Linked DNA regions of Mus musculus: region 1 is reported to be linked to region 2. Evidence: microRNA targets listed by miRTarBase, many of them from high-throughput screens and not tested one by one. Region 2 holds a microRNA gene; the other region holds the end of a gene's coding sequence.

Region 1 (15,471 bases), not on the chromosome of region 2:
TTTAGTCTCGTGTGTGTGTGTGTGTGTGTGTGTGTGTGTGTGTGTGTGTATTTGTGTGTCTGTGAGTGTGTGTGTCTCTGTGTGTGTATGCACCTTGGAGCTGCTGTTATTCTACTGTATGGGTCCCAGGAATGATCAGACTTAGGTAATCAGGCTTGGTGGCAAGTGTGCATTTACTGCTGAGCCATCCCGCCTGCCTCAGCTTGGGCTCTTGACTAGAGGATAAGAAGACAGCTTGGGGCTGATCTAGAGTTCCATCTTCTTCTCAGGCTGGTGCGTGAGGTAACAGGTGTGAACGTGAACATGCGTGTGGGCATCCACAGCGGACGTGTGCATTGCGGCGTCCTTGGCCTACGGAAATGGCAGTTTGATGTCTGGTCAAACGATGTGACCCTGGCTAACCACATGGAGGCCGGGGGCCGGGCCGGGTAAGTAGAAGGAAGGGTCTAGTTGGTCACAGGGGGTGAGTGGCTGGGAGGCTGGGTGAGAGAGCCAGAGTCTTAACCTCCTGGCCCCTTACAGCCGCATCCACATCACTCGGGCTACACTGCAGTACTTGAACGGGGACTATGAGGTGGAGCCAGGCCGTGGTGGTGAACGCAATGCGTACCTCAAGGAGCAGTGCATTGAGACCTTCCTCATACTTGGCGCCAGCCAAAAACGGGTCAGGATGGGTGGGAACGGGGGAGGGGTGTATGAGGGGGCGGGGGGGGGGGTAAGGGAAAGGAACAAACAGGAAGGTGCTAGCAAAAGCCTTCTTGGGGTTCTGCTTCTGAGCCTATACTCACGCTACTGCACAGAAAGAGGAGAAAGCCATGCTGGCCAAGCTTCAGCGGACACGGGCCAACTCCATGGAAGGACTGATGCCCCGCTGGGTTCCTGACCGTGCCTTCTCCCGGACCAAGGACTCTAAGGCATTCCGCCAGATGGTAAGGGGCTCTCTGAACCATGACCTGGGGGGCCTCACTTTTTGGTCTCCCTCAAAGTGTCCCCTTTCTCCCCATACCTGGCTCCTCCACTCTGTGTTCTAAAACTGGGAGCAGAGGGAGTAGTTTCACCCAAAGGGCCCCATTTCTCCCTAAGTGTGTGTGGGGACCCTCTCGACCTAGTACTGAAATGGCTCAGCTCCTGTCTCCCTCACACATCCCGTTTCTTTCTCCAGGGCATTGATGATTCTAGCAAAGACAAGTAAGTCGGCCTATGGGACGGGTCAGGAAGGGAGGGAGAAGGCATTTGCAACCTGGGATGGGCTGTGAGAACTGAGACCTCCCATTTCTAGTAAGATGTGGGAGCAGGTACCACACACACAGCTCGCATAGCCTTCCCTTGCTGTGGCCTGAGCCCTGCCCTTGTCATTGCTTGTCCTGTGGTGTTATTCATGCACCTGGTAAAACCTGCATCCCATTATCAGCCGGGGTGCCCAAGATGCTCTGAACCCTGAAGATGAGGTGGATGAGTTCCTGGGCCGAGCCATCGATGCCCGAAGCATCGACCAACTGCGTAAGGACCATGTGCGCCGGTTCCTGCTCACCTTCCAGAGAGAGGATCTTGAGAAGAAGGTTTGGGGGATACAGGGCAAAAAAAGAGAGGGCTGGGAGGAGGGAGGGCCTGGCTGGGAGACTGGACACACACTGAGGGACAGGAGGACATGTCAGGAACGGGAAGAGACTACAGCCTAAGATGGAAATTAATATAAATTGGGTCATGTGTTCCTCCCAAGGCCCTTGTATTACCCTCTTCTTCGCTGTCCATAACATGCCTGCCAGGGCAGGACCCAGCACCCAGCTCGGTCTCCTTTCTTCCCTCAGTATTCACGGAAAGTAGATCCTCGCTTCGGAGCCTACGTCGCCTGTGCCCTCCTGGTTTTTTGCTTCATCTGTTTTATCCAGCTCCTTGTGTTCCCATAGTGAGTCCATCCGTTAATGCCCCTAACACCCATGCAAACTGCTGGCCTCAGCTCTGTTCTGGGGCTAGGACCGGGACACCCCAGTTTTACTCATATTCCACCCTACCCCCCACCTTACCCTGCTCCAGCTCCACCCTGATACTCGGGATTTATGCCGCTATCTTCCTGCTGTTGCTGGTCACTGTGCTGATCTGTGCCGTGTGCTCCTGCGGTTCTGTAAGTAGGGGGACTTCCCTGAGACTGTCGGTGAAGGATCGGGTTCCCATGGGACAGGGAGAGAGGGTGGCCATGTGTCTTGTTAGACCCTGTTCTTGGCTGGTCTTCCTTCGCTGATGCAGTTTCTAACTCCTCCGACTCTCGCTGTGGCAGTTCTTCCCCAAGGCCCTGCAACGCCTGTCCCGCAATATTGTCCGCTCACGGGTGCACAGCACCGCGGTTGGAATCTTCTCGGTTCTGCTTGTGTTCATCTCTGCCATCGCCAACATGGTAAATCTCCCAGGCCCTGTGCCAGGCACTTTCTCAGAACTGCAGCCCTTCTGAGTATTTCCAGCCTTTGGGTAGCCTGCCGCTGTCCCTGTGGGTGGGGGTAACTCTTGTTCTTAGTCTTTGTTTCCTCTTTTATCATGCCTGAGGATTTTAGTCTAAAAAGTACCTCTGGGTTCAGCCCTCGTGAACCTTTCCTGATATGCACCCAACCTTTGCAGTTTACCTGTAATCACACCCCAATAAGGACCTGCGCGGCCCGGATGCTGAACTTAACACCAGCGGATGTCACCGCCTGCCACCTACAACAGCTCAATTACTCTCTGGGACTGGATGCTCCCCTGTGTGAGGGCACCGCACCCACCTGCAGCTTCCCTGAGGTGTCCGAGCAGTGTTCAGGCAGAGGGGGTTGTTCTAACACAGTTATCGGCCCCTCTGAGCCAGGTCTAGTGATGGGCACCAGGGAGCCGGGAACTCAAAGTATTCCCCGACTCTAGGGGCAACCGCCCCACCCCCACCCCACCCCCGGGAAGCTGGGCATGGATTGTACAGGGAGCTGGGGCCTGAAGGTGGTGGAAGGGGGGGATAGTCAGGCAGGGGAGTAGGGCTCTTCCTGCTCTGCATGCCCTGGTCTTCGCTGTCACCCAACGCTGCCTCTGCTGTCCCCCCTCCCCCCAGTACTTCGTCGGGAACGTGCTGCTGAGTCTTCTAGCCAGCTCTGTCTTCCTACACATCAGCAGCATCGGCAAGCTGGCCATGACCTTCATCTTGGGGTTCACCTACTTGGTGCTGCTTTTGCTGGGTCCCCCGGCCGCCATCTTTGACAACTATGATCTACTGCTTGGCGTCCATGGCTTGTAAGCTAATCCACAGTCCCTCAGTCTCCGGGGACCTCCCTGATCCTTCTGGGCAGAGTCTCTGGTACCCAGGCCTTTGGAATGTACAACTCTCACTTGTGGGAGAAAGGGAAGGGAAGGGCTAGTTCCTGGAATGTGGCCTCAGGTAGTTACCCCAAAGAATTTCCAGTTGTGACAAATTCCTGTCTCTTTAGGATAGCTTTTAAAAAAAAAGGCCCTACATTTGTTCTGTGCCTCCTCTACCCACTGGGTTATTTTATTTTATTTTATTTTTTTACTGGGTAACAACCCTGGGTGTCCTGGAACTCACTCTGTAAAACAGGCTGGCCTGGAACTCAGAGAGCTCTGCCCGCTTCTGTTTTCTGAGGGTCCTACCCTGTGTTCTTAGGCCCTTTGGGATGGACATGTGGCCGTAGCTTGAGGTAGGAAGAATTAAGAGTCTGCTGGGTTTGAGTCCTTGGTCTGCTTCTCCTTAGCTTTGTAAGCTTCGGACAGGCGAGCTGACCTGTCTAAGCCTGAGTTCTCTTATCACTGTGTCAGCATCTCAGGCCGTCTGTTACAGTGACACACAGTCCCAAAGCCTTATGTCGCCGCAAGCACATGCTAAACCTTCCAGAAGTGTACCTGGAGTTGAATCCTTTCACTGACAAGGAAACTGAGGCTTAGAGAGTTATAACCGACTTATCCTGGACCATTTAGCTGCTAAGGGAGGAGCTCCTAGTCGGTTTAACCTTTGCTCATATTGAGCTAATTTATGTGAGCAAAGGCTTTACCCACAGGCTTGAGTCATGACTGGGCTCAGCGGTGTAGTCTCTGTCTCCCCTCCAGTATCCCTCCCAGCAGACAGCCTCCAATGACTTTTGTATCTTCCTGCCAGGGCTTCCTCCAATGAGACCTTTGATGGGCTGGACTGGTAAGTGGGGGCCCTGAGGCAGCGAAGAATGAGGCTGGTAGAGATCTCCTTCAGGCACCAAGCTTGTCTCTTGATTATTTTCAGCCCAGCTGTGGGGAGGGTAGCGCTCAAATATATGACCCCCGTGATTCTGCTGGTGTTTGCCCTGGCACTGTATCTGCATGCACAACAGGTGGAATCGACTGCCCGCCTGGACTTCCTGTGGAAGTTACAGGTGACTTGGATGGACCTTTATGGGAGGGAGAAGCTTCTGGGGGCAGAGCCTGGGCCAAGCCAGAAATGCACCTCTTGCTAAGTGGCTAAGGCTGAGTCTGCCCAAGCCCACCCTGGTTCTATGCCTCGTGTCTCCATCTCCTGTCTCCTGTCCCATCCTGTACCTGCCCCCTTCACCCCTTTGCCTGTCATTTAGGCCTCCTCTGCCTGTGCTTTTCTTCCTTCACGTGGTTCCCTGTGATGCCCATCTTCTGGCCTCGGCCACTGCGCCCAGCCTCTGTGAGTGTTGGGCAATGGCTGATGGATGTGGTGCCCACAGGCAACAGGGGAGAAGGAGGAGATGGAGGAGCTACAGGCATACAACCGGAGGTTGCTGCATAACATTCTTCCCAAGGACGTGGCCGCCCACTTCCTGGCCCGGGAACGCCGCAACGATGAGCTGTACTACCAGTCGTGTGAATGTGTGGCTGTCATGTTTGCCTCCATCGCCAATTTCTCGGAGTTCTACGTGGAGCTCGAGGCAAACAACGAGGGCGTGGAGTGCCTGCGGCTGCTCAATGAGATCATCGCAGACTTTGACGAGGTGCTTGCTCATTGGCTGGTACTGGCAGAACGGGGGCTCATTGGCTGGTACTGGCAGAACAGGGGCAGTCTGGGGACCAGGGAAGTGGAGCAGGCTTTTGGATGGAAAAGCCAGGGATAAGACCGGGTGAGTGTCCCTCGCCCAGTCAGGGACAGCATGGGGGTCAGCCTCAGTGGGGCAGGGTCATCCTTGCTGAGGAGCAGAAGAGGACAGGAGACTCTAGGACAGGGATGACAGGAGAGGTATCAGGTGATGTCACTGAAGAGGAAGACAGTAGTCAAATCTATGCGAGACCAAGCAAGCAAGATTGTCTCTCAAAGAACGAAAACGGGAACAACAAGTGAGGGAGTGTCCTGGACACTTGGGTCAGGGACGGGCTGTCACACACACATACACACACACACACACACACACACATACACATACACACACACACACACACACACACACACTGGGACATGGTTTCCCCAAACCACGTCAGAGTGTTTCTCAGAACCACACTGTGGATTGCCATCGGAAGGGAGAGAGTTCACCCACTAAAGCAATGGGGCTCTCGGGAGGAGGAGGGGGATGACAAGGAGTGAGCTTTGGAAAGACCTGGGTCTGGCTTGACCGATCCCCCACCCCCACCTCCCCGGAACACCCCCCTCCTCTGTGCCATTCAGATCATCAGTGAGGAGAGATTCCGGCAGTTGGAGAAGATCAAGACCATCGGTAGCACCTACATGGCCGCCTCTGGGCTAAATGCCAGCACCTATGACCAGGTCGGCCGCTCACACATCACGGCGCTGGCTGACTATGCCATGCGGCTCATGGAGCAGATGAAACACATCAATGAACACTCTTTCAACAATTTCCAGATGAAGATCGGTGAGGGTCTGGGGCCGTTTGTGGGTGAAGTCATGTGTGGAGGGTGTGTGGAGGGGTGGGTTGTTCTCCGTCAGGACTCCTGTGGGGTTTCTACCTCCCACCTCCCTGTCAAGTTTAATACTGAGGACCAAGACGGTTCACTTGAGTCTTCCGTGTGCTGGGGGTCTTTGCCCTAGACGTGTCCAGTACATTCTAAGTTGTACATCAAGGCCCCTCTCTAAGATAAGGGATGTGGGGTTCTCAGAGATTAAATGACTTCAGTGAAAAGTTCAAGTACTAATGGCACGTTTGACTAAATCTAAAGTGTGTGGTCAGTGTGAGATGTGGGGTCAGGCTCAAATGCTCTGGTGGAAGGCAGTGATTAAATAACATACGTCCAGAGTCTGGCTTGACTCCCCACGGCCGTACTCACTTGTTTGTAAGATGGGGCAGCAGCGTGAGCAACCAATGCCTGGAGAAGCCTTCAGTGGGATGAGCTGCAACTGTTGTCTGGACTCGAGGGAGCCACCTCAGCCATCACGGCCAGCCCCATGCCGAAGGAATCATTGTCCCCTTTGATATTTTTTTCCTTTGGGTTCTTCTCAGGGTGCAAGGGGGAGATGACTGTCTGGAGTGACCCTGGGACATCCTAGCCTCAGTCTCTTGCTACTGTCTCTACTTCAGGGTTGAACATGGGTCCGGTTGTAGCAGGCGTCATTGGGGCCCGAAAGCCACAGTATGACATCTGGGGAAATACCGTGAATGTTTCCAGTCGTATGGACAGCACTGGAGTTCCTGACCGAATACAGGTGAGGGGATGTCGCCAAGCTAGACGGGTGTTGAGGGCTTTCAGTGGTCTCTGTACAGGACGGGGGCTGGGAGCCTTTCTCGTGGCTGTTGGGGTAGGGGTTGGCGAGAGAGGAGAGTATCCAGTAGAGAACTCCTGGGCTTTTTATCAATGCATGGAGGATCCCAGGCTAAACAAGCTCCCCTTCCACTTCCCTAGGTGACTACGGACCTATACCAGGTTCTAGCTGCCAAGGGCTACCAGCTGGAGTGTCGAGGGGTGGTCAAGGTGAAGGGAAAGGGGGAGATGACCACCTACTTCCTCAACGGGGGCCCCAGCAGTTAGCAGAGTGCAGCAGCTGAGATTCAACCGAAGGGACCAAGGTGGGCATTGAGTGGGACTTTGTGCTCGCTGGGTGGAGCTGTGACAGGGGGGCACTGAGCCTCCGGATCTTGCTGACAGCAAAAGGGAACACCCCAGCGGCTGCGCTTGGACTGTGTTCGTCTGCCTTCAGAATGGCGATGGAGGGGACGCCGAGAGGATTATCCGAGGGACTTTCTTAATTGGAGTAAGGCTGGTCTTCGTTTGTTTGGATGCAGATGAGAAAGCGCAGAGGCCTGGGAGCCTCCTGTTTGAGAGTTAAATGGCAACTCTCTATGCCTACTGTTTCCCTGTCTGGGCAACAGGCTCAGGGCTGGGTCCTTTCTTTCCCTATTTTTCCTGGGACTACTTTTTGTACAAAGACTGTGGCAGGCATGAAGAACACTTGCCTTTGCTTGCCTGTGTCTGCAGCACGGGTCTTGGGCACTCTCAGAACCAGCCAATTCTCCTTCTTAGGCACAAGGCAGAAGAAGGAGGTTCTATGGGACCTAGCTCTGACTGACCATATTTCAGGGGAATGTTTCCATTTGCCAAATCCTAGTCCCGTGATCTGTCCCCAAAGGGGAACAAAGGGACCTCTGACAGTGAAGATTTAGCCCCAGTTCCTGCATGATCCTGGGAAAGGGGCATCTGGCTTTACTGGTACTGTGAAAATGACCAGCCAGAGAGCAAGCCTGTGTGTGTGAGGTCATCCGAAGAACAGGAACTGGATGGTGGATGGTGACCTGCAGGTGCCAAAGAATGCAGCAGGCAGCCAGGGAGGAGGAGGAGGAGAAGGAGGAGGAGGAGGAGGAGGAGGAGGCCGCCACACTGACCTGAGGTCTCAGTGTGCTCGAATGCTCACTTGCTGCCTGCTGGCAGGGGCCATGGAACATCTCTATCCCTTGTATTGCCAAATAGCAAAAGGGTCAGGGTTCCAAAAAAGATGACCTGACCCCAAACCTGGCCTCCTAAGTCTGGCACTAGGGAGGTCCTGTGTGTTTGTGTAATTGTGTGGGCCTGTGTGTTGTGTGTGTATGTGTGTCTGTCTGTCTGTCTGTCTGTCTTTGAGGTCTCCATGTGTCCTCATGCTCCAGTTCCTCAGCTCTTCACCGGGGACTGCCTCTCTCCCGTGGGCCTCTGTCTTCTGGCGTTAAGGCCAAGTTTCCTGTGCCAAGGGATGGAGAGTAATACCCAGGTTGCACAGGAGGTTGGGTGGTGTTTGGTAGTAAAATGATAACGGTCTGGGGAGAGGAGTCCTTTTTTGTGCCAAATCCCTAAGTGCCATTTGGGGGCCACATATCTGCACTATGACTGTCCCCCTGCCTAGGGCAGGGACCCAAGCACCTGCTTAATCTCTAGTGTTCCTTGGAACTTGAACTGTTGGAGGTTTGTGGGTAGAGGTGCAGGCATTTCCTGGGTTCCTGGGCTTGTCTCTTGGGGGCATGGTGTGCTTTCTGACTGGGGTAGTGTGGGATCCCTCTCTGAGGACCCCGATGTTGGTACTAGGGGATGGGAACCTAGGAACTTGGAACTGGGCTGCCCCAAGCCTTCGGCCTGAATCTACCATGGCTAGACTCTAGCCCCGGCTCCCAATCTTCACGAAGCCTGCAAGGGTTGTACTCTGTCCTCGCCTGCCCTTGCCTGCCTCTGACCCTTGCAGCCTCCCTGACTCTGGTCTGAGTTAGCTGGTGCCTTGGTTTCTCTGTCTGCATCTAGTTAAGCCAGAGGCATTACGCCTCCATGTCGACTGATGATCTTAGACGTGGGCAGGAAAGGCAGAGGAGAGTTTCAGGAGGTGCGGAAGGGGCAGGCTGTACTTTGGCCCTTCCTCAAGCTTCTGCCACCCATTCTCTGCAGAGGCCTGGGTTCTGGTTTGGTACTGCTTTCCTGGAAATCTCCATGTACCAATCGGTGGACCACTGGGCGCTTGATTAGCCAAGGCAGAGGAGAGGAAGATCAGCTGGTCCAGGCAGAAAATTTCCTCTGTCTCCCCGAGCCATATCCTAGCCTTGGATAGGAAGGGACTACTAGACGCCATTGGGGCAGGTGTGAGGTATATAAGCCAAAGCAGGGAGACCTTGGCTTTGGGTCTGCTTCTTGCCAGGTGGGAGGGGCTTGTCCACACCCTGGCTCCCCGTACCACAGTGCCAGCCAGTCATGTCCCTCTCTGAGTTACCGTAGCCACTCTCCTCACCATTTGGGGAGGAAGTCAGGGCACGGGAGGCAATGGGCTCTGGTTTTATAATGTAACCACTGTCGGAGTGGGGGAGGGTGACGTACCATGTATTTCAGTGAAATATTTAATATATTTAAATATCAATAAAATCAAACTCTTTGTATAAAAAAAAAAAAAAGAAAAGCCCTGTTCTCTGCAGCTGTTTGGGTGCAGGGTTGGGGGTCAGAAAGTGACAAACCCTGGTAAAGCAAGCAAGCTCCTCTCCCAGGAGTCTCTGGGCCTCTCTCATCTGTGATCTAACAGCTTCCTGTGGTTTTGTGCCTGTCAGGATAAAGCTGCAGCCTCCTCAGACAGCATGACTGCTCTAGGCCTTTCAGCATCCTGAGGGCAAATGTCTCACCCCAGGTGTTTGCTCTGACCCCTGCCGTGCATTAGGTCTAGACCTCTGGTGTTGCCATTATAGCCCTTCACTTCTCTCACACCAAGATCTAGCTTCATGAGGAATCTCACACAGGACTCATGGCCTTGGGATAACTCCCTTGCCTCCTCACACCCAGGATGCAAAAGTGCCTTTTAGTTCAATTTGTTTATTCTGCACTCTTCCCCCCTCTCCCCACTTCTTTCATGGCTTGGCCATCTTCACCCCCTCCTCGCCCTCCCTTCCAGTTTTCATCTGTCCTGCAAGCATGCGCTCCTCAGTAAAGACTGAAGGTTTTGTCATTGAGATGAGAATGGTCCACAAATCTGAAAAAGAGAGAAACTGTCTCAGATTGAGCCACGCCAGGATAAAGGGAAAGGGATATACAAGATCTTTGTGACTGCCGGGTGTGGTGGCACACACATTTAATCCCAGTACTTGGGAGGCAGAGGCAGGCAGATTTCTGAGTTCGAGGCCAGCCTGGTCTACAGAGTGAGTTCCAGGACAGCCAGGGTTACCCTGTCTCAGAAAAGAACAAAAACAAAAACCAAAAAAAGACCTTTGTGACTGCCTCTGGGCATGTGGGCACGCATGATGGAGAGGGACTACTGTCAATGGATGCTGGTTGGGGTGGAAACACCCTCAGGACCCCGCAGGAATGCTAGAGACATCGATTCTGTGCCTATTCAAAGTGTCACCCATAAAGCAAAGCAGACAGATCCAGCTACACCATGTAGAGACCACACTGCCCCAGGGTCTGAGGCCCACTTTCCTTGATAAGGCTCAAACCTCTTCTATACTCTGACATCCACACACACACACTTTTTTGAGCTCTGGCTCTCCTGGAACTCTGTAAACCAGACTGGCTCTGAACTCACAGACCACAGAGATCCACTTGCTTTTGCCTCCCCAATGCTGGAACTAAAGGTGCTTGACACTTAAATGGAGCTGAAACAGACTCCGGGTTCACTGTGGGGAGAGAGTTTTTGCTGATCTCCCACCCTGACCCTCCTCAGCATCAGATGATGCCAAGACCTCACCTGGTCATTGGGCTTTTAATGAGACAATGGTGTGGAGTCTTGATCCAAGGAATGGCTTTCTCTGGACGCACGCCTGGGATGTTGGACCGCCAGAAGCTGAAGTTCTGAGCATCAGTCACAGGGACTCTGAAGACCTGATTGGGGACTTTTGGGAAGAAAGGCAGGTGTTCATTTCCTCCAGAGTCTTTTGTTTTTCTGTCTTGGGATCAAAAGCACGGTCCAGGAAGTTGTTGTAACCAGGTATGGAAGGTGACCAGGTGCGGAAGGCTCCTGGGTATGTGGTTGACACACCCTAGGTCACTTCTGGGTTCCACCATCTCACACCCTTCATGGTCACATGGTTTAGTCTTGGATTTTCCTGGTACTAAGTAAGCCCATCTCTAAGACTTGTGGGAAAACAGGTGGAAACCCACTTGGGAAGTGTACAAAATGGAGTATTGATTCAATATATTTTTTATTATATTAAAAAAAAATTTTTTTTACTTATTCACTTTACATCCCGGTCACTGCCCTTCTCCAGTCACTTTGCTCCACAGTCCTCCCCCCATCTCTCTTCTCTGTCTCCTCTGAGCGGTGGGACCCCCTAGGTGTCCCCCCAGCCCCCAGCCCGTCAAGTCTCTATCTTCTCCCTCAATATCTTTTCTCAATCGCCCTCACTCACTGTTCCCCTTCTGTCTGAAGTAACGCGTAATCTGCTCATTCTGAGGAGTTCCCTGAAACGGAAAAAAAAATGACCCCACCCACTTTGAGAAACCACGTGCAGATGCTATCGTCAAGCACCTGCTGCTCAAAATATTATATAAGGTACTTGTGTGTGTGAAAGTGTACCTACATACAGGCTTGTGTATATTCAGGTATACACGGAAGCCAAAGGTTCCCGAGGAGCCGTCAAGAAAAGTCTGTCACTAGGACCAGGGGCTCCATGATTAGGCCAAGTTGGTTGCAGAGTCAACCAGCGTCAGAGATACACCTGTCCCCTCTGCGGCTCTAGAGTTATGAGTGTGTACTTCCAAGCCCAAGGATCAAGCTCAGGTCCTTCTGCTTGCAGTGTAAGCACCTTACTGACTAAGGTGTGTGTGTGTGTGTGTGTGTGTGTGTGTGTGTGTGTGTGTGCGCGCGCGCACGTGTGCATGTGCGTGCTTGCGTGTGCATGTGCACATGCTCTCATTCCTGTGTGCGTGTGTGTGGAAGCCAGAGGTTTAATGTTGACTGCCTTCCTCTATTGCTTTGGTTTTCATAATCTCATGTTGTCAATTAATATATTTTTGTTGTTTGAGACAGGGTCCCCTTTGCATGTCCCTGGCTGTCCTGGAACTTACTATGTAGACCAGGCTGGCCTCAAACTCATAGGGAGTTTTGCCTCTGCTTCCCAAGTGCCAGGAGATTAAAGGGTGGGCCACTGGGCCTTGCAAAATTTCATATTTTAAAGATCAAATTATGGTCTAATATTTTCTGGTTTTCTCTGTAATCTTGAGAATTTTTTAAAATTCTTAATCCTTTGACTAAATGTTACATTTTACCTAGCTGTTTTCCCATTAATTAATAAGCTTTAATTTTTTTTTCTGTTAGAAATAAATTAAATGCCCTCTTTCTTATATTTGCCTGTTTTGATCTCTAAAAGTTTTTAGTTTAGTTTAGGCCTGACCTATGGAGGCCTGTAATCTCAGTTACTTGGAAGACTGAAACAGGCAGACCACAAGTTTAAGCCTGAGCAATGTAGTGAAAGTCAATCTGAAAATTATGTGTAGGTGTATATACACATATATATACATACATGTGTATGTGTGTGTATATACATACATGTGTGTACATATATACATACATGTGTGTATATATACACATACACACATATACATACAGGTGTGCATATATACATATATACATGTGTGTATATGCACATACATGTGTGTATATGTACACACATGTATATATACACACACATGTATGTACATATATACATACATATGTGTGTGTGTGTATATGTATATATGGCTGGAGAGATGGCTCAGTGGTTAAGAACACTGACTGCTCTTATAGAGGTTCAATTCCCAGCAACCACATGGAGGCTCACAACCATCTTTAATGGGATCTGATGCCCTCTTCTTCTTCTGTTTTTGTTTGGTTTTTCTTTTTTTCTTTCTTTCTTTCTTTCTTTCTTTCTTTCTTTCTTTCTTTCTTTTTTTTTTTTTTTTTTTTTTTTTTTTTTTGGTTTTTTTTCCAAGACAGGGTTTCTCTGTGTAGCCCTGGCTGTCCTGGAACTCACTCTGTAGACCAGGCTGCCGTCAAACTCAGAACTCCACCTGCCTCTGCCTCCCAAGTGCTGGGATTAAAGGCGTGTGCCACCACGCCCCGGCGGGGCTGGCCTTTTTTGATAAAGCAAAGTTGGAGTTTGTTAAAGGAGACGCGTTCTCTTTTATTTGTGTATGCATATGTGGCGCCTGTTGCTTTTACTGTGTTATGGGTGTCTGTGGAGGAAAAGAGTATCAGATCCCCTGGGGTTGGTGTTTCAGGCAGTGAACTGTCACATGGGTGCTGGGAACAGAACTCGGGTACTGTGGAAGAGCAGCAGCAGTAAGGCCTCTTAACCTCTGAGCCATCTCTCTCTCTCTCCAGCCCCAGAAATGGCGCCCTTCCCTTCCCCTCCTTCCCCTCCCCTCCCCTTCCTCTTTGCTTGTTTGTTTCATTTGTTTGTTTTGAGACTGGGTTTCCCTGTGACGCCTTAGCCATCCTAGAACTCACTCTGTATACTAGGCCGGCCTCGCTCGAACTCAGAGACCCACCTGTGTCTGAGTTCTGGGTTAAAGTTCTGAGTTCTGAGTTCTGAGCAGGCCACCACTGCCTGAGTCCTGGGATTAAAGGAGCAGGCCACCACTGCCAGGGTAGGAGCAGCTTTCTGTAGAGAACACAGTTCCTTGAAGATCCCTATGCCACACCGCCACACCGTATGCATCGAGAGTCTGCCCTACAAGCTTTTCTGAATGCAGCCGAAGAGCTCCTGTTTGCAAGTGTCTGGGAGAGGTTAAATGGCTGAAGGAACTTCACCAAGGTCACCCAACTTGTTTGGAGTTTGGGCTCAGTTCAAATTACAAAGCAGGTGCTGGCTCTCCTCCTCCTCAGCGGGTGCAGCAGACAAAAACACCTCGTATGTTCTTTCCTGTTCCAGCTCTGTGCTGTGATCCTCACAGTTCTGGGAGCCTTAGAAAACACAGCAGCACCCCCCCTCTCCCCATCACCGAGCCTGTGACATCCTAACCCCTCTTTACCATCTTGGACTCATTCCTTGTTTCCCACTCCGAGGTACTTACACGTTTTTAACAACACCTTTCGCACAGCTTCCTGGTACCTCTCATGGCTGTTCTGGTGCACAGAATAATTACCATCTTCTGAGATAATCGGGGGAAGCCTTGTGGGCACTTCATCCTTCTGGTCTGAAATGAGAAGATCCATTTTGAATACTTGGCAAATGAGGCTACTTTATTCTCTGATTTTTCCTGGTTGCTGTGCCAACTAGGCACATAGGGACCTTCCCTAGCTCGCTCTGGCATTCAGTTCCAGTATCCCAGGAATTAAATCCTCTGGCCTGTGATAGAGGCGAGGGAGGAAGAACTTTGGGTTCACAAGAAACCCTCCACTCTTCTCTGACTCCCAGATTTTGAATGGCTTTCCACTGGACCCAGGAGACTGGATAGATAGTTAGGACCAATGCAGGTGCAAACAGGCATAGACTTTCCCAAGCCTGACACTGGCATAGAACAAATGGGTCTGAAAGGGGAAGTCAGGCTGCTAAGTCCTGGAAGATGAGCAATCGGGGGCTAGGGGAGAATTAGGAAGGTGCTTCAGGCAGCAGGATGAGAGCTGTGAGAGGGAGAGGGAGAGAAGGAGAGGGGAAAGGAGAGAGATAGGAGAGAGGGAGGAGAGGGGAGAGGAGAGGGGGGGAGAGGAGAGAGGGGAGGGAGAGGGGAGAGGAGAGAGGGGGAGAGGGGAGAGGAGAGGGGGAGAGGAGAGAGGGGAGGGAGAGGGGAGAGGAGAGAGAGGGGAGAGGAGAGAGGGGAGGGGGGAGAGGAGAGAGGGGGGAGAGGAGAGGGGGGGAGAGGAGAGAGGGGGGAGAGGGGAGGGGGGGAGAAGAGAGAGGGGAGGGGAGAGAGGAGAGAGGGGGGAGAGGAGAGGGGGGGTAGAGGAGAGAGGGGGGAGGGGGAGAGGAGAGAGAGGGGAGAGGAGAGAGGGGGGAGAAGGGAGAGGGGAGAGAGAGAGAGAGAGAGAGAGAGAGAGAGAGAGAGAGAGAGAGAACACTCTGTTGATTGATTGGAATCTAGAATGCTGGGTGATGTGGTGATGTGGAGAGGGACCAGCTTCAGGGGTGGGGGGTTGGGGGACCCAGAAAGGTTTCACAGTGGGTACAAGGTGGTTGTGTTTTGGAATTATCTCTTATAAAGTAGATCTTGTGCTTCACAAAGAAGACCAGCTCTCCTTCACTGGACCTCTCAAAGCAAAGGAAGCAGGCTAAGCTTACATCAAACACATCTAGATTTTATTTATTTATTTGTTTGTTTGTTTGTTTATTTATATTTGGGACACTATTTCACTGTAGCCCTGGCTGTGTTGAAACTTGTATAGATCAGGCTGGTCTTGAACTCACAGAGATCTGCTTGCCTTTGCCTCCCCAGTGTGGAAATTTAAGCTGTGGACTAGTTTTGTTTTTTGTTTTTGTTTTTTTTTAAGATTTATTTATTTATTTATTTATTTGTTTGTTTGTTTATTCATTCATTCATTCATTCATTCTATTTTATTTTATTTTTAAAGATTTATTTATTATTATATGTAACTACACTGTAGCTGTCTTCTGACACACCAGAAAAGGGCATCAGATTCCATTATAGGTGGCT
Region 2 (15,471 bases):
ACACAGTGTGTGGTCCCATGGTCCTTGACACAATACCAGAAGTCGCACTGATGTGAACACAGGGGCTGCTTGAGATCTGACAGGAGTGAAGATCCTGCAAGCTTTCCAACCCTTGGGCTCCCAACATGGAGTTTCATGTCTCTGACTCCTGGACAAAGGCCAGTTTATCTCTGTGGGTGCACAGGAGTAATGATCTTGCTGTCTTCCTGTCTGTGCCTTCATCTGCGATCCTCGTGACTATGTTCATGGGAGAGCATCCTGGGCTCTTCCTGCCATCTTTTGTGCAGGCTTCTTTCTCAGACACTTGATCACCATCTCTGCAAAGTTCCACCCCCCTCCGCCCTTTTGCTTTCTGTGTTTCTGGAAGAGTAACTGCTGACTTCTCAGTGCCCCCCAGTCACAGCCAGAGAAGAACCTAAAACCATTGTGATATTGAATGAGACATACTTCTCTCCCTGGAAGGTCTCTGGAAAGCAAACTTCCTGAAAAACCCTTTGTCTTCTTGCTTTAAGCCGTGCATCTGGGGGCAGAGTCACAGCTGAGGGAAGACTTTCCATGAAAACACCCCTGCTCATCAGCAAAGATGGCCTTGTAGACTTAGAAAATCAGTTTTTGCAACCCTAAAGCATGATGGCTCTGGGTGTGAGCAACTACCCCAGAAGAGCTTGAAACTGTACCTCCTGGTGGAGAGACACTACAGTGGCCTGGCCTTGCTGCAGGGTTACAAGTTGAGATGATCTCTGGTCCAATTATCATGGTGGGGGAGCCTAGGAACAGAGGCATATGGTGGGCTGTAGTACAGGGCCTCAACCAGTAGCCCACTATGGGAACATGGGTCATATGGTCTGGTCTGCACTGTCTGGAGAGAAGGGATGGGTTATGGATTAGAAACACTTGGAAGTTTTTGTTTTTTTGTTTAATTGAGTTTTGTTTTTTGTTTTGTTTTGTTTTCATGTTTTGTTTGTTGTTGTTTGTTTCTTTTTGTTTTCGAGACAGTGTTTCTCTGTGTAACCCTGGCTGTCTTGAAACTCATTCTGTAGACTAGCCTGGCCTTGAACTCACATCCACCTGCCTTGGCCTCCCTGTGTGCTGGGACTAAAGGTGAACAGAGATAGCACCCAGCTCGGTCATTTTAAAAAGAGAGACAAAGCATTCAGTCACAGTGCTCAGGGAGACACGGGTGGGGGCTATGAAGGACTGGATGGGGTCACTCTTGAATGGAGGAGTGCTGGGAATGACAGGCCCATGGAGAATTCTGGGTGAAGAGACAGAATTCGGCAATTTCCACAGTAGTTTAAGTTTCTTTGCCTCGGAAGATCCGATTAAACAGTGCATTTGTGTGTAGGCTTATCCCGTCTGTTTTGTTTTTAATTTAGTTTTGTTTTTGAGACAGGGTCTTGTGTAGCCCAGGCTAGCCTCTAGCTCACTAAGTAGACTGTGTCTCAAGTCAATAAAACAAAGAGAAAAAGAGGAAGCCTTCTAGCTGGGTGTGGTAGTGTACACCTTAAACCCAAGGGAAGCAGAGCAGGTGACTCTGAATTTCAGGCCAGCCTGGTCTACTACAGAGAAGCCCTGTCTTGAGAAAACAAACAAACAACAAAAACCCTGATGTCCTCTTCTTGCCTCTGTGTGCGCACACACACATACAGACAGACACCACACGCAAACACACCCTACACACAGACACAGACAGACGCAAACACAGGGACACACACAGACAGACAGACATATGCACTCACACACACACACACACACACACACACACACCACTCCAAAGAAGATGTTTCTGTAAAGTCGTGCACAGTGCTCAGTCTTTGTCCTAGGCCTAATCATTGGAACCCCGAGCAGGTCCAGCATCCCATAGCCAGTCTCTAGCAGGAAGTCTCATGTGAGACATCACCATGCCTCAGTCTTCCGGCCAATACACTAGAGAGATTAAAGGGGGCCTCCCTAGGATTCCCAGGAAGGGAAAAAATGTGAAGTAGACTTAGAGGCAGGGTAGTGTAGGCTGAGTGCTGGCTGGCTGGATGAGAAATGCATGAAGCCAGTTTGGGTCCGACCCATCTGCACACCCCTCACTCCTGGTTCACTGGCACTGACAGATGCTCAGTAGAATAAATGACTTTTGACTCCCATTCAGCCAGGCGGCTTGCACCTCACACAAAAAGACGAAAGGACAAGCTGCCTACTTAGCCCTCGAATACACCACTTCCCAAAGTTCTGCCGTTCCCCGCATCCTCACAGGTCATGCCTCCCACAGTGCCTCCTACCAGGGGCCACCCTTCCCAACGCCCCATGACCAAAGTCCCTAAAGTCCCACCCTTCCACGTGCTTCCTCACTCTCTCTTTGCACAAAAGGGAGACCTGAAATCATGATGGCAGGGTCTGAAGCCCCCAAGACTTTCCTCTTGGTGTAAAAGTTCATACTGACTATTTCTTCAGCTGTTTCTCCCAGTGGGACTCCTGCCAATCACACACCTCCCCCCATCCCCAGGGAAGAGGATCATCCACCACAAAATGTGACCCCCAAACAACCCCGGCCTATTGTAACTTGGAACTCAAATCAGATGCAATCTGTTTACCTGCCCTGGGGAGGAAGAGAGGAAGGCAGATGTTCCCTTTCTATAGCATTGAGTGTGACCCTGCTACACTTGCACACCAGTGAATGTGACCTCTGCTGCACTTGTGTAGCAGTGAGTGTGACCCCTGCTGCACTTGTACAGCAGTGAGTATGACCCCCACTTCAATTGTGTAACAGTGAGTGTGAGCCCTGCCGCACTTGTAGAACAGTGAGTGTGGCCTCACTGTACTTGCACAGCGGTGAGTGTGACCCCGCTGCACTTGCTTTCGCACACTTCTCCTGTTACAGGCTGGTACAGGACCCTCATGCTCAAGAGCCATGGGGGCTGCAGGGGAGCCCCACCGTGGTGGCAGGGCAAAGGGAAGCAAGTGGCATGGTGTAAGGGAGCATCAGGAGCGGGTCTGGGTCTCTGGGGAAGCACTGAACAGGAAGCTCAATCCCTCAGCACCCAGCCCACTTCGTCATGGCCTACCCTTCTCTCTCCTTGGTCCCTTCACCGGCTCCCCTCAGTTTTCCCAGTCCACCAGTGCACACTCAGTCTCCTCCCACCCTGAGATAGCCTCTGCTAACAGAGTCCTGTCTTCCCTTAGTCCCACTATGTATGGCGTGCAGACATGCTGAGTATATGCAGAAGTGTGCCTGTGAGTATGCATGCAAGTTCACCTGCTTGTGCATCTGTACACAAGCATGTCTGTGTGTGTGTGTTTGTGAGAGTGTATACATCCATGCACTTGGAAGAACATTCATTGGGCATGTTAGCAAGGGCATCCACCTCTGTGCATGCACGTGCACATGTGTGTGGATGTGCACCGATACAGGACTGAGACTGTGTGTACATGTGAGAATGTGTAGGATATGCATGTATGTGATGTGTGCATTCACTTGTGTGTCTGGATATGTGTGTAAGAAGTGTACACATGTCTGACTGTGCTCATATGAATCTATGGCATGTGAGAACGTGTCTGTGTGTGTGTGTGTCTGCATGTGTGTGTGTTGTGTGTATGTGTGTGTGTGTGTGTGTGTGTGTGTGTGTGCAACGTGTGCAGGCAAGTGCATTTCCCTGACTGCGCTAGCATGGAGTGGGGATGAGGAGAAGCAGGAGGGGTGTAACCAGCACTCAATGTGATTATCATTGCTATTTTGCATCTCTAACAGCAGAGGGGCTTCCCAGAACACACTGATAAGGAACAGAGGGTGGTGGAACCAACTGTGGATAAAGATGCCTGCAGCCTGGTCAGGTGCCCTGGCTGTACTAGCACCTCCAGAGTCCTCTGACATGGCTTGAACAGCGGGGTACATGTCCTGCTCACTGAGCACACCACCTGGAGCCTCCCTGGGAGAGATGTGGACTTCACTTCAGTTACTGCCCTCCTGCTCAGAGTTGTGATCAGTGACTGGCCTTTGTGCCATCAGAGACAGACTGCCTTTAAGGCCATTTGTCCTTTCTCTCCCCAGATGTGACTAACAGGAAGCTAGAGGCCAACTTATAGGAAAGAATCACTTCAGGTAGGACCCAGACTCCAGCTGTGCAGCCCATAGGGTACGGCTGAGACACGAGCACATTTGCCGAGGTCCATGAGGAAAATGGACCCAAGCTGATGCCGTAGGAAGATAAGAGTTGCTGTGTTCGGGTCAGGATGGAAGCAGGAGTTGGAAACACTTCATCTCATGTGAGTGGGTTCAAATCTTTAGTTGCATTCAGAGCTCCAGGGTCCCACCTTCTAGACCTAACCAGGCTGTCATCTATCCAGCCACAACCTCTCAGACCTCTGCTCTCAGCATTTACCTTCTGGTATCTTCTACAAACTCATCTCAAGGACCAGGATGAAGGAGGGGATCTGAGAGGCCATGACATGTGACTCCATGATCCAGGATACAGTAGTCACTTGCAAGGGTCATGATCAGGAAGCTGAGGACACCTGGGGCAGAGGTGGTATGATAGTTTGAATATGCTTGGCCCAAGGGAGTCTTTAATAGTGGTCTTTAGAGCCACTATTAGGAAGTGTGGCCTTGTTGGAAGAGGTGTGTCATTATGGGCGTGGGCTTTAAGACCGTCATCCTAGCTCCCTGGATGCCAATCTTCTGTTTCCCTTTGGAACAAGATGTAGAACTCTCAGCTCCTCCTGCACCATGCCTGCCTGGACACTGCCATGTTCCTGCCTTGACAATAATGAACTGAACCTCTAATCCTGTAAGCCAGCCCCAGTTAAACATGGTGCTTATAAAAGTTGCCTTGGTCATGGTGTCTGTTCACAGCAGAAAAACCCTAACTAAGACAAGTGGTAAGACAGACAAGGATCAAAGAGTATGAAGTGGGGGTAGACTCCCCAAAGGACCATGAAGAATTGCAGGAAGCCAGACCCTGTTGTCATCTTGAACTTTCAGAAATCAGAATGACTTCAGTCAGCCCACAGTCAGGCCATAGGAACACCAGGAAAGTCTCGGCCAACAAGGCTTGAAGAGTGCCATTCAAGGGACATAGGATAGGAGCAATTATGGATGGCAGGACAATGATATTTGGGTTCGTTCATAAACTTGAGGACCTTGGGAGGACAATGTTGTTTGGGTCCATTCATAAACTTGAGAATCTTGGTCAGAGATGAGCAGAGCTTCTCATAACCCAGGTGGGGCAAGAGCACAAGATTGGGATCGGGGTCGACTCTCTGTCCAAGGGGGTCTTCACTCCATCTAGTTGTGATCCCTGTTACCCATGGCACTGGCTACTTGGATGCTCTCCTAGGACCCACACTGCCGTCCCTCCCTGGGGAGAAGAAAAGATAGAGCTTTGTGTAAGGAATGCCGCTGCCCAGTATGGGGCTCCCTTCCTGTCTGAACTCTTTCCAACAGTCCCTATGGTGAGATGCTCCAGTGTCTCCCACCTGGCTAGATATTTGCTTAACAAACAGTGAAAACAGCTGCCCCCTAAGCATAAATAGCCAGGGTCTCTCCTCCCACATGGGAGACCCAGATCATAGGTTAGACATCAGGCATTCCAATCCACTCTGAGCTGGCCAGGACTGACTGTGACCCCGAGGGGTGTCTCACCTCTCTGAGCACAGGATGCTTGCCTGGTGTGGGTCCTGCCTGGCTTGGCTGATGGTGTTTGCATATGCACTTGCCCTGAACTCACAGGGCACTGTGGGTGCCAAGTGGATGAGACAAGACAGGGCACTGTCCACGTATCTGTCCCTAGACTCCAGATATGCCTTTTTCTAGGCTGGGCCCCTATTCCCAGGATGTACGCATCTTGGAGATGTACCCTATCAGGAAATATTTGGCCCAAATCTAGATTGGCTGTCTAGGAAGGAGTGGGCATGATGGTCCTATGTTAAACAAGGCTTAGACTGATTGGACAAAGAACAGCATGTTCACACTGTATCCAGTCTGGGCAGCTCTTGGCCTGGTTCCAGTGCTCGTGGTGGGTGTGGCCCAGAGCTTATGTTAGATGAAGTTCAGTGCTGATCAACTGTGTGGCCTAGCATGCACGTGGCCCAGCACTTGTAGTGGGTGTGGTCTAGTACCCATGGAAGTATGGGCTAGTGCTTATGGTGGGCGTGTCTCAGTACTTGTTTGAAATGAATGAGGCCCAGTGTTCATGATGGTGGGTGCAGCCCAGTTCTCACCCAGGCGGGATATTTGACAGGACAGTGAAAACTATTCTACTCTCTGCTCTTGGATGAGATTGGAGGCAGGGCAGACCAAGGCTGACCTGTTTTCCTACCAGATCCTACCAGTTTGGGGGTGGAGATTTTCCCAGTCTCCCCGCTGGGGCAGGACTGGACTCAACTCACTGGGTAGACATTTGCAAAAGATCCTACAAGGACAGCACATTCTACCAGCACATTCCTGGGGGTTTCAGATGAAGGCAGGTCACAGGAAAGCGGCCAACCCCACTACCAGGTATAAAGGACTCAGGGATGCAAGACCCCAGTAAAGACTGCCTATCATTTCCTGCCTTGCCCTCCGACAGCCTCTAGTTTCCTGTCCTTCTGGAGGACAAGCTTACATGTGAAGAGAGATGCCAGCTCTGTGCAGAATCAGGGTAGAGAGGAGACGGGAATGTTTATTGAGCTTGATAGTGAGACTGAGTGCTGATCCTCAGGCAGGGCTGGGCTCAACAGCTTCTGTCAGTGTGGCCATATTTTTCTCCTTCTCTCAGGCCTCTGTCCTCACACCTCAACTAACTCAGGCTGACAGCCATGGCCCCTAAGCCAAGCAACCCTGGCCCTGCCACTCTGGGTAGGAGGTGGAGTTCACTCCTGGCAAGCACATTATTTAGAGGCCACTAGACAGTCACTGTGAGCGCCCAGCAACCCCAGCCTTGTGCAGGACCCTGCCTAAGAAGCATTGTATATAAGGGTCCAAGCAGAGGCAAAGTTGACTGCACTGCCTCAGCTAACTGCTGACACACCTGGTGGTCTGGCTTCCCATGAGAGCAACCCTCACATGTGCCTCTGTGCCACAGGACTCTGCCAGGGCTCTGGATCGGTGGCACCTTGCAGGGTTCTCAGCGGCCAATCGAGTGCCACCATGTGTTCTGGAGAGTGGCTACCAGCTCAGCCTCCCCAGTGACAAGATATACATTCTCACATTGTCCCTCAGGTCATCAGCCAAAGGTGGACGCTACCTTCCAGGGCCTAGAGCAGCACCTTTAGCATGGAACTTACTTAAGGGGAAATCAGAGGTTTCTTGTGCCCCAGCCCCACCTGCCTGAGTCCCAGCACTCAGTTTTTACGCAAAGCTCTGGTGTGAAAAGAACATTTATTTTTCACAGTCACCTGGCAAGTGACCTGGACTGGGTCAGTCACAGCTTAGGGAGGTTTCAGCTTCCTCCTCTACTTGCCTGTTGAGGAGACAAGGGGAGCCTGGATCCCAACCCAGGGCCACTGGTGGCGCACGTGACCTGGCTTTCTTGGATCTGACCATTGCGGAGGCCTCCCTGCAGCAGCCTTTGAAGAGTCCTTGCTGTGGCTGTGTCCTCTGGCTGGGCCATGCGGCGTGATCAATGCGCAGCTACAGCTGGTTGAAGGGGACCAAATCCATCCAACAGCTGATTTGGTTCCATTTTACCAGCTTCAGCAAAGCATTTGGCTTCTGATCCACTGGGAGGAGAGACTCCAGGAAGAAGATGGTTCTGTCAGGCTGCTGTCCTGTCCCAGGCTCTCCCTGCTCTGAGAACCCATGCAAACCCAAGGGCTTTGGAGGTCTTCAGGGTGTGTGTGAGGGGTCACATGTACATTCAGACACTCTATGTGCCCCAAAATGGCACCCCCAGGACATTACTGGGAAGGGGAAAAGCAGTTCTTGGTCCTTACGCCCCGAACCTCCACCTCTTACTTGCTATATACATATATACCACATATACACCAGCGTTGTCCAGAGTCCTGTCTGGTCACTCCTTTCAGGAATATATCCAAGACCATTGAGCCTCTGACCCATGGACTCACATCGAGGCTTGAAGACTTCACACTTTACACCCTGACTCTGCCTGCATCATCCAGATGTTCTCTTATCTCACTGTGCCGAGGTACGGCTGTTTCTCTTAGCGAGCCGTGGGCCCTGTGACTGGGCAAACAGCTCTGGCTTGTAGTGACCTTGGGGGCAAGGGTATATCAGACACCACACATGGCTCTGGGAAGGCAGAAGATGGAATATTCCAGTATGGACTGGTTTATGTAGCATAAGAAGTGACATGGGACAGAAAAGGCCCAGTGTCCATACCCCCATTCTCTGGCCTCCCTAAGCCTCTCACTTCACAGCTCTTGATGATTCAGAAGGTCCACGTTCCCTTCAGAAAACTGGAGCAAGGGTGTGAGGTGAAAGTGTCCTCAGCCGCACAGGGACATGGTCTCCAATCCCTCTCTCTGTCTCTCTCTGTCTCTGTCTCTCTCTGTCTCTCTTTTTCTCTCTGTGTCTGTCTCTCAGTCTCTGTGTTTGTGTCTGTCTCTGTGTATGTCTCTGTCTCTGTGTGTCTCTGTGTCTGTCTGTCTGTCTGTCTCTCTCTGTGTGTGTGTGTGTGTGCGTGTGTGTGTGTGTGTGTGTGTGTGTGTGCGCGTGTGCGTGTGCGTGTGTGTGTGTGTGTGTGTGTGTGTGTGTGTGTGTGTGTCTACCCTCAGTGAATACCACCCCTCTGAGAACCATTGGGTAACCCCACATCCTCAGCCCCCACAGGGCCCACTGCAGCCTGTGTTCACAGTGGTCTTTCCAAGCAGCCCTGATGCAGAAAGATCCTCCTAAGGATGTCTTGATGTCCCCCTGGAGTTGCAGGAAAGGCTCTGCCTTCCAACCCACACAGACACAGAGGATCTCCCAGCCACCAGCCTCTGGCTCAGCACATGGCTCTCCTCTCCTTGCTCCTACACAGGGCAGGCACCAGGCTCCCAGCCTGCCTCACCGGCCCTTAATGAAAATGATTCTTGATGCTGGCTGCATCCAACCCTTTGTCTATGCTGTCAATATAGTTACTGGAGTGGAAGATTTGACAAGAGGTAGAATTAGCCCTGAGTCTTGGTCCTGGGCCCTTAGCTACCATGTTGGGGACCGAGGAAGAGGACTGCAGCTACCTTTGCCCCAATGTGTCAAGCCCAAGTCCTGCTCCAGTGCAACTTCATTTGCCGAAGCCTTGGGCACAATTTCATTCTGCCAAGGAGAGGGGTCACAGGATGATAGAGCTGGCACTCCCCTTGGGTCCCTGTGAAGGTTCTTATTTCTGTCCATATGTCACCAGATTGGAGGAATTTCCCCCATACGGACCTCCCTGAACTCCCTGTGGGTGTTGTTTTATTTCCTTTCTGAACAACAAAAAGATGCTCACATTACACACAGCTCCAAAACCTCAAGGGCCCATGACTTCTCCATAAGACCCACCTCCTCCTCGGCATGGGTACTTACTTCACCTAAAAACTGTTATATCCCAGGCTGTTCTGCCCTCTTCTTCACGGTCATCTTTGTTCAGCCACCCTGCTCCCTCGGACACAAGACATGAGAGGCTGACTTCATTGTAGCAAAGAACAACTCTACCACAGTGTGCCCCTGACCATGCTAGAAGGCAAACCAACCTGTGGGGTCATGGTAGCCCTGAAGGGCCAACTTAGAGCCATGGTGCCAGGCCTAGCAGAGAGATACCCAATGTGGCTGGCACACACAGTATCTGCTGAGGGTTGGTCTGGAGCCTGTGGGCATGGCTTCTTTGGGAATCCTGTCTTTACCAGATTTTCAAAGTGAACAGAATGGGACTGTGGGTACTACTGTTGTTGGGGTGGGTTTTGTTTGCTTGTTTGTTTTGCTGTTGTTGTTGTTGGGGGCTTGTTTTGTTTTGCATTTTACAGACAAAACAGTTTTTAAAATGTTTTAAAACATCTGCTGATGGAGCCATCCTTCGAGGGAGAGGTACACTCAGCATTTTCAAGCAGCGATGGATACTAGACATGAGCATTCGATGCTGAAAGCACCAGCAGCCCTGGTGAAAATCAATGGAAAAATTAGACGCCGTGAAAATGCAGTACACACTCAATTAGTTATAATTGGAGCATAGAGTGATGGAGATAAGGACAGAGCAGGGAACACTCTCAGACACACAGTCGATGCCGGCAGTCCCTGGCACATGGCTCACCTCGCTCTCACCCCTTGAAGTTCCATGAACTCGTGATGCTGTGCAAAGATGCTGCCTCACCAGGAAGCATTTGCATCATCCTGCATCTGCCAGGGGTCCAAGACCCCTGCTGGGCCCTGCTTGGAGATGGCAGAGCAGTCCAGGATGTCAGACGCTATAGCAAGCTCTCCCAGCTGTCTGTCCCCGGGCCTGACCTTTGAGACTCAGAATGACCTCAGACTCTGGAGTAAAACACTACACACTAGAGGAAACTGTGGGGTTCCTGGGCCTCTTGGGGGATCCGTTTCCCAACATGAAAAGTGTTGAAGGCAGTAAGTACTGGACCTTTTGTCTGATGGCCAGCCCTATGTGTCCTGTTATTCCATGCCTGTCATAGCTCCACAGGTGACCCCTGGCTATATGGCCAACAAGGACAGTGGGAGGGTTTCTCTCAGCCTCATCTCAGGACGTCAGGAACAGCAGCTGAAAATACACAGCCACCTCCAGGGACACAGAGGTCATAATACTAAATACTCCTGCTCAAAGACAACCTGAACCTAGTCACATGTGTAGCTAGCCGCTACACCAACTCCCACTTGATGTTTTCTGTTTTCTTTCTGTGGGGCATGTAAAATGTAAGCACCAATAACCTAGTATTTCTCTACATAGTGACATTGCCCACTAGCAAGCAGATTCGCCACAAAATTAATATCTAGCTTCACATAGTGGCTCATTATTAAAATAGAGAGCAAAGAATTGCAGGAAGCCCAGTGGGTACTAGCGGCCCTGGCCAGGGCTGCTGCTCAGGAACTTTCTGGAAGTTCTGTTTGAGAGTATCAAGTCCCATGGGACAATCTCCAGAAAAAGCCAAAGGAGCATTCACCCCCAAACAGCACCATTTCTTTGTATCTGCAGTGCTGACTCAGCCAAAGCACCACCGAGCCTCATTCAGCCCAAATCCATAACGTTTCTGTCTGTTCAAAAAAATTTATCTTTTCTCAACACTGATAAAAGTTTAATACCAGAGTTGCCTGAGTTTTTAATAAACTTGTCAACAAAGGAGCATGGCAAATTGATGAGGCCCTTCCTGGAGATAAATTCCACCTGAAATAGACCCATGGAACAGGGGGCAAGCAGAGGAGGCAGGGGAGGGACGGGACACACGATTGTGTTGCTGTTCGTTGCAAAAATTAAAACACAGATGGTGTGTGTGTGTGTGTGTGTGTGTGTGTGTGTGTGTGTGTGTGTGTGTGGTGTGCATGTGTAGTATGTGGGAGTGTGTGTTTGTGTGTGTGTGTGTGTGTGTGTGTGTGTGTGTGTGTGTGTGTGTGTGTTATCTCAAAGTTAGGACCCTACTAATCGCTGATTCTATTTTAAGGGAAAAGTTGCAGATAAGAACTCCATGGAGGTCAGCAGGCAGAATTTCTGTTCTGAGGGACTGATGTGTCCAGAGACAAGAAAAAAAGTGGCTTGTCAACACAGAGTCTGGTTAAAGGTCCTGCAGTGGATAGGGAAGGTGGGCCCCATACACATACTGTACCTCATCTCCTGAAAAAATAGACCCTGAGCTACCAGAGCTTAGAACCTGGAGTTCAGATATGCTGTTGGACGAAGCAGCAGAGGTGTTCCATGTGACACCATGGAAGGCCTGGGTAATGCATGACAGTGTGTGCTATTCCTCTCACCTCTATCCCATTCTTCGTCTCCCTATGGCTTGGGGGAGGTCTCCCAGGATGCAGAGGCATGGCAGGACAGGGTACTGTCTTCAGACATGAGAGTATAACCTGCCTTTGAGGGTACCAGATGAACATTTTATCCCTTACACAAGGATGTCTTGTGATGTGAACCCTACTCTTAGAAATTTATTTGCTAAGACAAAAGTGAGCAATGACAAGATCAGAAAAGGGAACCTCAAACGTGAGGTCTTGGCGGATCTCAAAACAGAGTGTGCAGGACACCCTTACAGCGACTTAAGCCTGCCACAGTACTCAGCCTGCAGTGATAAGACCAGGGCGTCCCCTACACCAGCTCCAAGATCTGGGACTCTTTCTCTTCTGCCCTTCTTCAGTGAGCGAAAACCGCACTGTGCCCTTGAGAAGGGCTGAGAGGAAGCAGCCAGATCTCACCTGGACTCAACAGCCTAGGAGGGGCCCACAAGGAGGAGAAACATAGAAAACAGAGCTCTGAGCCACACTCGGGTCACAGCTGCTGATGGGAGGTGGGGAGCACTCCTGGGCCTCTGCAGCCCCAAGTCACCCAAGTCCAGCCGTCTCCAACAGGACAGCTGAGAATGCAGGTTATTTATACCAGCCATGACATGGGCAAGAGTGGGGAGACACACACGGCCCTGTGGCCATATCTGGGCATGATTGAGGGCTCATGGGGCTGCCAGGAGGATAGGGTCCAGGTGGCACATCTGTCCCCGGTGTCCTTCAACTTCACAGTGTCCCCATAGAACCCCCATGACAGGTTCCAGGACAGCTGCCCTCTCCCCTTCTTGCAGTTAAAAATACTCTGGTTCAATGTCCGGTTTATCCTGAATCTATCCTCCCTGTGCACATGCACCTGCCCACACGTCATCTGCCCAGCACCAGTGAGGAAGCACTATTCTTAGCCCAGCCCCTGGTTTGACCTCAGGGAAAGAGACCCTAGACTTTAAATCACTTTGTAGGGGACACTCTTGGCCAGGGAAGAGCCCACAACCTCAAACCCATCACTTTGACTCTAAAGCTTCTTCAGTGCCCTCCCTGCAGGTGGACAGAGAAGGCCTGGGAGGCCCATGTGCCACCGCCTTCGTCCCTTCCCACCCGGCCTGCAGATCCGGAGATCTCTGCCCTTGAGACACGCAGCCCTGCATGTGCCTGCAGCTGCGGCTATTCTGCAGCAGCTCTGCAGCAGCCTGCACCACTCCAGCTGCTGTAGCTGCTCCCCCTCCCACACGCTCAGCAGCTCCAATCTTCCCAGGGTCACAGCCGGCCCGGGAGAACTGGAAGTGCAAAGAACACTTCCCTCCCCGGACACCAAGCAACCTCCTTAAAGAACCTTCCAAATCCAACTGTAGCTGGCCAGGTTCTGAGCCCAGGAAGAAGAACATCTGAGAACTGTCTGTACTGCCCCTTTGCTTCCCTAGCTGCCTAATAGCCATGCCTGCCCCCTTTCCAAGTGTGATTCACCCAGGACACTGGGGCTGAGGTTGGTGGCCAGGTAAGGACAGTGAACAAAACTGGGGTTCTTTATAAAGCCAGCCTCACCCTACACCCTACCTCTATTGGTCCACACCACACTCAAGTCAACCTCAGCCCAACCTCAAGGAGGGTGCCCTGGACCTGGCCATGGAGCAGGGAACAGCACTGTACTGCAGAGTGAGACCTGCAATCCAAAGTGCATGGCTGCTGAGTCAGCACAAAGCCTCACAGAAGGCTGGCTACCCATTCTGCTAAGGTGGCAGCGATTAACGCAATTGTACGCACATCCCTCCCTCCTCCTCGATAGCATCTTCGTCATTGTGCCCGGTTGCCCTGGCCCTGAATATCACTCAGGTTCCTTCCTTTTATAAAGTTACAACATTTTGGTGTTGGGGTAAGATGCAGCTCTAACAATGTTAACTGTGACTTGGATTATGGCAGACAAAATAGCCATCCTGCAGCCAACCTAACCACACCTAATAGTTTATTCTTCGATGCTTCTCTTCACATGAAGTCAACAGTTCTAAATGAGATTGCTGAGGAGCCCAGCACACAGTCTGAAGAACCTATGCCATAAAATGCTTTATCGCCCTCGAGGTACGACATTATTTATTTAGCTGGAGTCAATGTCAGAACCCCTCTTTAAAGAGGCTGGCACAATTCACTTGGCCAAAGAAGAAGAAGAAGAAGAAGAAGAAGAAGAAGAAGAAGAAGAAGAAGAAGAAGAAGAAGAAGAAGAAGAAGAAGAAGAAGAAGAAGAAGTGGAAGAGGAGGAGGAGGAAGAGGAGGAGGAAGAGGAGGAGGAAGAGGAGGAGGAAGAGGAGGAGGAAGAGGAAGAGGAAGAAAAAGAAGAAGAAGAATAAAAGAAGAAGAAGAAGAAAAAGAAGAAGAAGAAAAGAAGAGGAGGAGGTGGAGGAGAAGAGGAGGAGGAGGAGGACAAGGAGGACAAGGAGGAAGAAGATAATTGATAACTACACATGCACACATAATCTCTCACTTAGACACTCATGTGGCTTAATCCAATCTGCAGACTGCCCAGTCCTAAGTATCAGGTATAAACCATAGTATGGAACAATAAGCTTGCTACCATGATGCTTGACCCTATTGCTCCCCCGCCAGACTGCAGGACCTGTGACTCCTGTACATGCACATCTGGAAGTCGAAGAGCACCAATCAGTGCCTCCCTATTCCAGTGAACTCAATAAAGGGAGCACATGCCTTCTCACGGCTTCTGAGTCCCCAACCTGTTCCAGGTGGTGACATGTCCTCTTTGCTCCCCAGGGGCCTTATCTGGGCTCCTTTACCTCTTAGAATCCTTTGGCTACATGTCTGGGTGGTACCCAGACTAGGAAAGCCTATGTGGGGATCCCTGTCCCAACCCAGCCTGCCTCACCTCTCCTTCATGTGAAAATTCTAAGACACCATAGAAGACTGACTTGGCCAACCACATAGCATAATGGTTTGGAGTCCTGTGAAAACCCATACAGCAGACATCACAACCACACACCTTCTCAGGTATCACCAGAAACAGGTCCTCACACACCTTGGGGATGGGAGTAGACATGTACGGAAGGGGAGAAGAGGAGGGGAGGGGTGTCCAGGGGTACTCGTTTTAACTCAGCGGGCAGAGAGCACCAAGGTGATTTATAACCAAGGAGGCTGAGGCTCGCTCCCTGCAAACTCTCCAGTTTTACTGCTCCGTCAAACCTAATTCCAAAACACTAAGGCTTTTATTTAAACACCACATCCTGCAATAAAGCTTTAATGTATGACAGACATATCTAGCGGAAGACAGTGGCGTGCCCGTGGCCGCTGGCAGCTTCAGTGGCCGCACACCGGCTGTTTACCTCCCTGTGGCCGGAGCTGGAATTGAGTAGGGCATAGATGACCTTCCGGGGTCATGGAGCACTGACAGCTCTGGGACCAGTGACCAAGAGGGAGGTAGTACCAAGGGCAAGGCTGCTTTCTCGGTGCCTGTCGCACCCTCTGTGCCTGGAGACTGAGATCAGGAGAGAATTCGACTTCCAGAAGGAAGACTGAAACATTCAGGACAAACCCTTGACTATGGAGTCACCTCAAGAAAACTCAGGATGGAAGCCACCTGTGGGCTCAGA

Evidence for each region. Region 2 holds the annotated microRNA mmu-miR-133a-3p (UUUGGUCCCCUUCAACCAGCUG, at 7,598-7,619, opposite strand). A microRNA usually pairs through its seed, bases 2 to 8, with sites in the 3' UTR of a target mRNA and lowers its output. Matches are read on the target gene's strand: a 7mer-m8 pairs with bases 2 to 8, a 7mer-A1 pairs with bases 2 to 7 and ends in A, and an 8mer does both.
Region 1: miRTarBase lists Adcy6 as a target of mmu-miR-133a-3p. Seed matches in the 3' UTR shown: 7mer-m8 at 6,967-6,973.

The regions. Positions count from the first base shown.
Region 1 is chr15:98,583,815-98,599,285 of GRCm38, reverse strand. Adcy6 (adenylate cyclase 6) reads left to right here. Exons shown (of 21, transcript NM_001368413.1): 6 at 270-428; 7 at 523-664; 8 at 801-929; 9 at 1,163-1,188; 10 at 1,412-1,559; 11 at 1,809-1,906; 12 at 2,035-2,122; 13 at 2,276-2,392; 14 at 2,611-2,769; 15 at 3,068-3,246; 16 at 4,124-4,159; 17 at 4,244-4,373; 18 at 4,692-4,955; 19 at 5,621-5,825; 2 more. The coding sequence ends at 6,936. It overlaps 4930415O20Rik (RIKEN cDNA 4930415O20 gene), which reads right to left. Exons shown (of 4, transcript NM_001201322.1): 2 at 13,894-14,016; 3 at 10,589-10,733; 4 at 9,698-9,874. The coding sequence ends at 9,826. Among named protein-coding and RNA genes, the nearest start is that of Adcy6, 13 kb to the left of the region's middle.
Region 2 is chr2:180,390,585-180,406,055 of GRCm38, reverse strand. Mir133a-2 (microRNA 133a-2) reads right to left here and starts at 7,677; the gene lies at 7,574-7,677. Mir1a-1hg (Mir1a-1 and Mir133a-2 host gene) reads right to left here. Exons shown (of 4, transcript NR_045331.1): 4 at 4,254-5,342.